Linked DNA regions of Nothobranchius furzeri. The protein of the gene in region 2 binds, or shares a complex with, the protein of the main gene of each other region. Links are inferred from orthologs where the notes say so. Each region holds a gene or a part of one and is shown on either strand. Other genes may lie near its edges.

Region 1 (4,372 bases), on a different chromosome or scaffold from region 2:
GTGGATAACTTCAATAAATGTAAATGAAACCAAATAATAAAAACACACTTATTTAAATCTCTTTTCCTCAGTAGAGTCATGGAGATGGTGTCTAACTAATGAAGTCATCAGATGAGAGGCAAGGAAAACTCTGGACAGGTACCCAGTCCATCACAGGGACACACAGTCACACACTCACCCGTAGGGATAATTTAGCCTCTACTTAACCTGCACGATTTTGATCCGTGGGAGGAAAGTGCAGTACCTACCCACACATGCATGAGAACATGCTAACTCTACACTGAAAGGCTGTGCAACATTGTAGGTATAATGAGGCAATGATAAAGCAGGAAAGGCAAATTTGTAAAACAAATTTACTTAAAACATTGTTTTTATGCCTCTTAATAACATTGTAACACAGTAGAGCTGTAAATATATTGTAGAGATTAAAAAACCTATATAATTGAAAGAAACATGGTCGTCTCTGAAGCCGGAAACATTGCCATGGTACGTTGCACTGGTGATGTTGCATCCAGCTGGTCCAGTAGAGCCAAGAGCCTTTCTTTCCACTTCCTCCAAGTAAAGGTTGGCTACAATAGGTGACACGGGGGAGCCCATGGCGCAGCCATGTTTTTGTCTGTAGCAAATCTCTTTTAAAGGGAGAGCACCCAGCCACTGGTACAGATATGCGGATGACACCTGGGTCAAAATCAAAACACAAGAAGTGGAATCCTTCACTACGCACATCAACGCCGTGGACAAAAATATCAAGTTCACCAGGGAAAACATAAAGGACAACTGCTTGCCTTTCCTGTGCACTTTGAAGAAAATGGCAACCTCAACATTGAAGTGTAGCGGAAGCCCACACACACGGACCAGTACCTCCTCTTCAACTCACATCACCCTCTGGAACACAAACTTGGAGTAATCAAGACCCTACACCACCAGGCAGAACATGTTCCCTCTAAGCCGGAAGGGAAAAAGAAGGAACACACACATATAAAGGAATCACTTAAAACATGTGGCTATCCTAATTGGGCATTGATAAAGTCAGCAAAGATGCACAGAAAAGAAGACCAGACACCAGCGAGGGAGGATAAGAAAGACAGACGCAACAACCTTGTCAACCCCTATGTAGCCGGTGTATCAGAGAAACTCAGGAGGGTTTTCTCCAAAAACAACATACCGGTGTACTTCAGACCCAGCAACACACTCAGACAGAAACTGGTTCACCCGAAAGACAAAACTCCTAAACACAAACTGAACAATGTGGTGTATGCTGTACAGTGCAGCGAGGAATGCCCAGACCTCTACATCAGAGAAACCAAACAGCCACTTCACAAGCGCATGGCACAACATAGAAGAGCCACCTCCACGGGACAGGACTCAGCAGTTCATTTGCATCTAAAGGACAAAGGTCACTCTTTCGAGGATGCCAACGTTCACATTTTGGACAGAGAGGACAGATGGTTTGAAAGAGGAGTAAAGGAAGCCATTTATGTCCACTGTGAGCAACCATCTTTGAACAGAGGCAGTGGTTTACGACACCAACTGTCTGCCATCTATAATCCAGTTCTGAGATCTCTTCCCAGATGCCTCAATGCCCACGCATATCCTGGGCCATCTGACCTCAGGAATTCACATGATAGGGTGGGGCCAGGCTTCACAATGAGCTCACCCGAAACTCTGGCTGTTTGTCTATTACAAAAACTGACTCTGGATCTGTACAATAAATAGCCCAATCACATCGATAGGGCCTACTCTCGCGAGAAACTGTAAGGTTATATAAAACACCTTCTTTGTCATATTATATTGGAATGAGAAGTCGTTTATAGAACGTTATTATCAAATTTATAATGTACGATAATTTGTACTGAAAAACGATAATTTAGGCCTCTCTGTACAATATTGTGGGATTTTGGATCTGGCAACACTGACCCACACCCACCCTCACACCTGGGCTCATGTGTTTATGTAGAAGATCATCAGGGGGTCTTTTGTTCCCTCTTCGGGGGAAACTCCCACTGGGTTTGAATCTGGGACTCTCCACCATTTGACCTTAGAACTGAAGAAGCCTCTCGGATGAGAGGTGAAACATCTTCAAGCAACTCAAAGAAGTCCAGACGCTTTTCTTTCAAAGCTCCTTAGACCAAAAGCATATTTGAAACGTTCTGTAAAGCTGACTCCCTGTCTGTCGTGTTTAAGAGGAGTTTAACTATCTTTCTGTGAACCACTACTGACAGAAGTCTGACTGAACACAACAACAAACTCTTCAAAATAAAGTAAATCTTCATGCAATAAAATCAGCCAGCTGCCAAGATGTTATGCTTATATCAAGTATAAATTCCTGACACGTGTATACTCAGTTTGAATTATTTTGCTGGATTACAGAACAACTTGGAACAAACGTTAAACCAGAAAAAATACTTGAGAGCTAAATTATCACATGCTAAACTACAAACTCACAATCTGCCAGTGATGTCCACGGTGTCGTATAAATATCTAGAACTCAATAATTGCGTAACGTTGGGAATGTATTGCAAATGCATCACATCTCCTGCTACCATTAGCTACCCCTCTCAGCTGAGACTTGATGGCTAATGCTAGCTAGCATCTCACCGATTAATAATAGTAAGTTCAACTGTCTTACCTCCACTTAGTTTAGGAATTTTGCCGATTTTGTTAGTTATTTCTGCGGTGACTGTTCCAAAGTCCTGTTCGTAGGCTTCGAAGTCAGAAGACATTCTGTCGAACGAGTTTAAAATGAGTATTAGCTATCTGACTGTCGGTTACCTCAGAATAATAACAACAATCCCCGAATGGAGTCTCTTCCTGTAGTTGCACTGAAAACAGCTCGACGAGAAACTAGAGGATTTGTTTGATAGTACTAGTTCGATACGTGCCGAATGCGTTTACCTCTCCATTCGAGTTTTTCGTAATATTATTTTTTAAAAATTGACAATTTAATTGTTTGCATTTAAACGTATCTGTAATAGTTTAGGGATTTTGGCTTCTGAAGCACGGCGAGAAAGGTTCCTAGTTCGTCCACCGGAGAAAATCTACGGCAAAAGACAAGGAAGTGACTAGGTTGGTAATTTAAAGTGACAGTTTTTTCGCCTCTCACAAATTTAAATCAAACACTTATCTTTAATAATATTAATAATAGCTTCATATCCGCGTGTCATCTTTGCGTTTTAGGGTAACAATAATGCTTTAGAGGTTAGTCGTGTTGGCAAGCTGGCTAACTAACGTTAGTTCGCTAACTGCTGCCACTAGATCCAAAGACCGAATATCTATTTTTATATATTTATTAACCGAGTAGGCACTCTGATAATCACACATCTACAAAATATATCCGATCCTGATTGGTCGAGTTATACTAGCTGACAGAAATGCTGACTAAAGAGTCGCCATGTTTATATCACTGTGTCAAATTAGCTAGCTTGGTAACAGAAGCTAATTAATAGTCAATGTGCAGGTGCTAATGGTGTGAGGTTGGATACTCATTTAAATATTTTATTTTGTTTAATTTAAAACCAGATAGATACTTGTTGCATTTAGTAAAGTGGAAAAGAAAAGTTCCTCATGTTTAGTGACAGTATTACCATCAACAGAAGAGGAAAAGATTTGCTACGATAGAAAATGAGAGAAATTCTGCATAAATTATGAATCAAACAAGATATGATCTACTGAAGGATGCTGCATCTCTCAAGTCTAAGCTGATTTTTTTATTTTTCCGGGGAAGAATAATTCTTATATGCATGCTTGCCTCCAAAGTACTTTACATTTACACACTTGCACTTTAAACAACTATGTTAATGTTTTTTTTTTTAATTATTATTTTATTTCTGTCTAACAGATGGGGAACTTTAGTTTCTCACGAGGATAGTGTGCTTCGGGTGTTGGCAGGAGACGATGCTGGTCTTCACCGGGTCATGGATTAATGGGACACAGGGAGCCCAAGTTACTCAAGGCCAGGACGCTTGCTGGGTACTCGGTAGAAGAGATGAATTATGTGCATTGTGTGCACCGTTAACAGCACAAGGTAGCAGAGGAAGCGCGTAGCACATCCAACGTGGGTCAATACATCTCAGAAAAGTAGAAAACTGAACTAATCTTCATGTGAGAAAATGAATTTCCTGTCAACCATTGTGACATTCGAGAACCTTCATGAGGTTCGAAGATTGTGCCACTGGGGTCCAATCATAGCTTTGTCTGTCATAGCTATTTGCTCAACCATGGCAATAATAGACTCCATCATTTGGTACTGGCCGCTAGACACCACAGGAGGAAGCATTAACTTCATCATGCTCATCAACTGGACTGTGCTCATTCTCTACAACTACTTTAATGCTATGTTTGTTGGACCTGGATACATTCCTCTGGGCTGGAA
Region 2 (4,092 bases):
CCACCAGCAGGCAAGGTGGGTTGAGTGTCTTGCCCAAGGGCACAACAGCAGAGTTCTCTGTCCGGAGCCGGGATCGAACCTGCAACCTTCCGATTACTGGACAACCCGCTCTGTTGAGCTACTGCTGCCCCAATGTAAACACTGTGAATAATCTACTAAATACTAATGGCGAAACATTATCCCACAAAGTCTTCTTAGAAAAATATAACATTAATACTTCACAAGAAGAGTATAACATGGTAATTAAATCCATCTATGTTTGTATTTTCTATTTAACACAGACCATACAATCAAACATCATCTTATCTGCAACAGCCAGACCTCCAACTATTTCTGGGATTCCAATCACAGATAAGAAATTTAATAATTCTGTTATTAGAAAAGTAATTGATCCTGTCTCAACCCCGATATGTAAACACTGATGGACTTTTATGAATACAAAACTCTGGAACAGGATCTTTCTGCTACCTCACCAATATGTTATTGTGAATAAGATAAAAGAAATTTGATTCAAAATTGTTCATAGATATTACCCGTCAAAAGCAAACATCTGTATTTTTTTCCAAATGTTTCTGACATATGTACTTTCTGTGGTTGTAAGGGAGAAACTATTGAACATGTTTTTGTTGATTGCTTTCATGTAACTTTGTTTTGGTTCCATTTAAAAAGATACATTTCCAAAAAGTTACAAAAAAAATATTTCTTTAAGCAAATATGAAATACTTCTTATTGTTACTAACCCTCATTTATCATCCAATGAAAAATACATAATTAACTTAGTCATTATTTTAGCAAAATATTATTTACATAAAATGATTTTTCAGAAAAGTATCCCCTTCTATAATTTCAGAATTACAGACCTTATGAAATATTGGAACAGCATTGAAAAATTAAAAATGAAGAACAACAAACTAACAAAGACCATCAACTTATTTCATCATTTCAACTTAGACACAGCAGACCCCTAAGTGTTATGTTTCTAAGTTATATATGTTTTCGTCAGTTTTTTTTATTTCTTGGTTTTTTGTTTAATAGTTTCCTAATGTTGCATGTATATTATTGCAATTCTAAACAACTGTAAAATGTGATCCATGGATTTATTGAATGTGTTTTCTGAATAAAACCTGTAAAAAAAATTAATAAATTAAAAAAACACCACGGACCAGGAAGTAGGTTTGGCTCTCTGACCTATGATTGGAGGCCGTGATAAAATGGGTGGGACGCTGCATTGTGATTGGTTGAGCTGTTGAAGTAGCATCCTGGTATTGGTTGTTAGGGTGTGTTGGTCTGTGAGGTCTTAGCGCTAATGCAATATAGCATCAACCTAACGGAGGACGAGTCATCTACGCCCATGTATCGATTTCAATACATTAGTAAGCAAATTACAGCATGATGCCTTGTTTTAATGTAGAATTTCGTCTTTGTTTTAATTGACCACGCTCTGCGTGTCCAGTTTACGAGCAGTTTTTACTGTAAAAAGACGAAAGTAGACAAGTTCGCCACCGTTAGCCTAAAACGAAGGTTTAGCTTCTCCGTTCTACCAACACAACGCTAGCTGAGCTAAACAGATACGACGGTTTGTTGAAGTGTTCCGTTCCTTATTGTTATTGATTAATTATGGGGTTAATTTAAAGGCGTTTAAACAGCAAACTGGTCTGTTCGCTAACTCGGTGTTCGGACATTTGTTTACATTTACATTTAGTTTAACTGCTTAGCGGTGATAAATAAGTGATAATCTGACTTGATTGGACCTTTGAGCTCATTACTGAAATAATCAAACGTCATTCATACGCGTGACAGAGTCAAAAAGGGAAACGAGTTTAAATCTTTAGACCCTTAAAACTTACTTAAACCATTATGTCGTTAAGCCAAATCGTTCAATAATGCAATGTTTATTGTTCCATTTTCTTTTGCAGTTCCAGTTTAACGTGTCAGGAAGCTCCTAACAGTCGCAAACATGTACGGAAAAGCGGAGTTCCGCCCGGTTCACATGGACTTCAGCTTTCTCATCCAGTCCTGCAGCTCAAACATCCAGAAGATCACACAGAACAGTAAGAGGTTTCTCCTGTTCCTCGCGCTTCAGCCTGGTGGGAAATCACATGCCACATGGTCACGTGATGACCATGTGAATGAGCTTTATAGCCTGTTTGTTATCCCCACGGTATTATCCACTGATCATCATCTCTCCAGGGTCGCACTTCAGTCTTTTTGGCTTCTTTAATGTTATTTCTTCAGAGGTGTGAACAGCAGGTCTCTTGATGAATGATCAGTTTCTCGTTTTACAACAAAATTATTTAATAATAAGGGGGGAGTGAGTATGTAACAGGGTGTGGTGTCACTTAATTATTATTAACAATTACTAATAATTATGAGGGGAATTTTTTTTTGTGTTGTTACTGATGTCTGTTGTCCCTCTGGAGTGCTGCAGGAGTACACACAGGGATTTATGGGGGTTGGATGAGGATAATGAAAGAAAGAAAGTAAATCAGTGTTTTGTGAACTGTTTAATTTGACATAAACATGGCAAACATGCTTTCTTGTCATTGTGTGTGAAAAACAGTGTAGAAATAAAAACAAACGACATGTGTTAATAGAGAAATAGCTGGCAAGCCGTGCTGACGCATGACGCATGCGCCGTGAGCGGTTTTGGTACTTTTTGGGTTGCAGCCACTCGCAGCGCTGCTTCAACCCTCACGAGGGACGAGCAAAATATCAAACATGCCAGAAATCAGTGCGAGCTCACGATTGCTGATAGGTAGCTGGTCACGTGGTGTTAATTGCCTCTCGTAACCACCTGTATACTACACGACGCTCTGCACAAAACTTGCCCCGATCTTGTAGATTCTCGCACGAGGGGAAAATCGGCTCAAAAAAGTGAAAGAGTCGCACAGTGCCCGCCTGGCTTAAAGGAACAAATATGATTTTGTAGTTCAAACAACAATGCTAAATATGTTAATTTACATTTGAGAACATTACCTCATGTCCAGTTGAAACTGGTATTGTTTAATGAGTATTGTATTGGTTTTCTCAATGACAGGAAATTGAAACATTGATATAATTTGCTTTTCGTTAAGACAAAATCGATATCGGCAAGTCAGGTTTTTCTCAAGATCGGTGATTGGCCAAAAACTGCAATCGGTGCACCCCTACTTCTCACTTTTTGCAGGAAAACCTAAGTGATATAAAGCTGATTTCTGTGTTTTAGTTCCGTCAGCGGGCTAGCATGTCCAGCTTTTCTGAGAAAGTACGACTTGAAAATGGAATACTTCCTGAGACCAAATCCATTCATCCCGTTCCATCAGCCATTGTGGGCATAAAAAATAAGTAACATCAAAAGTATTAATGTGCATGGCTCACAAGAATGTGTTTTGCTAGCGACACTTGGTAGAGATAGCTTCTCTCAGACCGTCGGACCAATCGGAGGACAAAAAACCCCTGATGTCACCGTGAGCCAACTACCTGGCTCAGCGATGTGATTCTGAAAGCTCACTGGTTAAAAAAACCAGATCCCATAGTAGAGGTTAACCAATGTTGGATTTTCTATTACTGATGCCGATAAGCAGAGCTAATGGTCAGCTGATGGCCGATATCTAGACATCAGTTGATACACAAAATTTCTGAAGCTAAATCAGTTTTTGAACTTGTAATTTAACCAACTGTTAAACCTTAATTTTGTGCACGGCTCAGTGTTAAAATCAGACATCTAACTCAAGTGAATCAAACAAAATTATTTGTTATGCAGAAGTTACTCAGGAACATAACTCTGCAGCAGCACCAGGCTGCCTGAGGATGTGCCTGACTTTAAATCTGCTTTACTAAGGAGATACTGTATATTGGCATTGGGCGATAAATCACTCTACCACTACTATATGGTATAACTAACAAAGGCCCGTTCTACTGATTCTGAACGCTTTGGGCAGATTGGACTCTCCCTGGCATCAATAGAGGCTGAAATCTGATTGGAAGAAAAATCCAGATGTAGAGGACACGGTGTCGGTACAGGATCGGCTCGGGGTCCTTCGACTGCCGATGACGTCACATTACTGCAAATCTACTCGGCTTTCACACATACGTTTTGGAAAGACATCAGCA

Evidence for each region.
Region 1: the proteins of stx12 (region 2) and vti1a are in contact, whole or in part, in a crystal structure (PDB 2NPS), measured with the Rattus norvegicus proteins. The link is inferred for Nothobranchius furzeri from reciprocal best matches to the Homo sapiens genes STX12 and VTI1A. Residues at the interface, in NP_075228.2 of Rattus norvegicus: Glu185, Ile188, Gln189, Leu191, Glu192, Ile195, Leu196, Val198, Asn199, Phe202, Lys203, Leu205, Ala206, Ile209, His210, Gly213, Ile216, Asp217, Glu220, Val223, Glu224, Ser226, Glu227, Val230, Glu231, Ala233, Ser234, Asp235, Leu237, Gln238; in XP_038945999.1 of Rattus norvegicus: Arg131, Arg134, Ser135, Arg138, Leu139, Ala141, Gly142, Ile145, Ala146, Glu148, Thr149, Ile152, Gly153, Met156, Asn159, Leu160, Asp163, Arg166, Arg169, Ala170, Arg173, Leu174, Glu176, Thr177, Asn180, Leu181, Lys183, Ser184, Ile187, Leu188.

What each region holds. Positions count from the first base shown.
Region 1 is NC_091756.1:39,753,629-39,758,000, forward strand, and holds the start of vti1a (vesicle transport through interaction with t-SNAREs homolog 1A), read right to left. Parts: upstream 2,884-4,372; 5' UTR 2,724-2,883; coding exon 2,630-2,723; intron 1-2,629. Other genes in the region: palmitoyltransferase ZDHHC6, read left to right, coding at 4,110-4,372. UniProt on the Homo sapiens protein: V-SNARE that mediates vesicle transport pathways through interactions with t-SNAREs on the target membrane. These interactions are proposed to mediate aspects of the specificity of vesicle trafficking and to promote fusion of the lipid bilayers.
Region 2 is NC_091751.1:25,527,579-25,531,670, reverse strand, and holds the start of stx12 (syntaxin-12), read left to right. Parts: upstream 1-1,251; 5' UTR 1,252-1,373; intron 1,374-1,448; exon of another isoform or gene 1,449-1,576; intron 1,577-1,916; 5' UTR 1,917-1,957; coding exon 1,958-2,051; intron 2,052-4,092. UniProt on the Homo sapiens protein: SNARE promoting fusion of transport vesicles with target membranes. Together with SNARE STX6, promotes movement of vesicles from endosomes to the cell membrane, and may therefore function in the endocytic recycling pathway.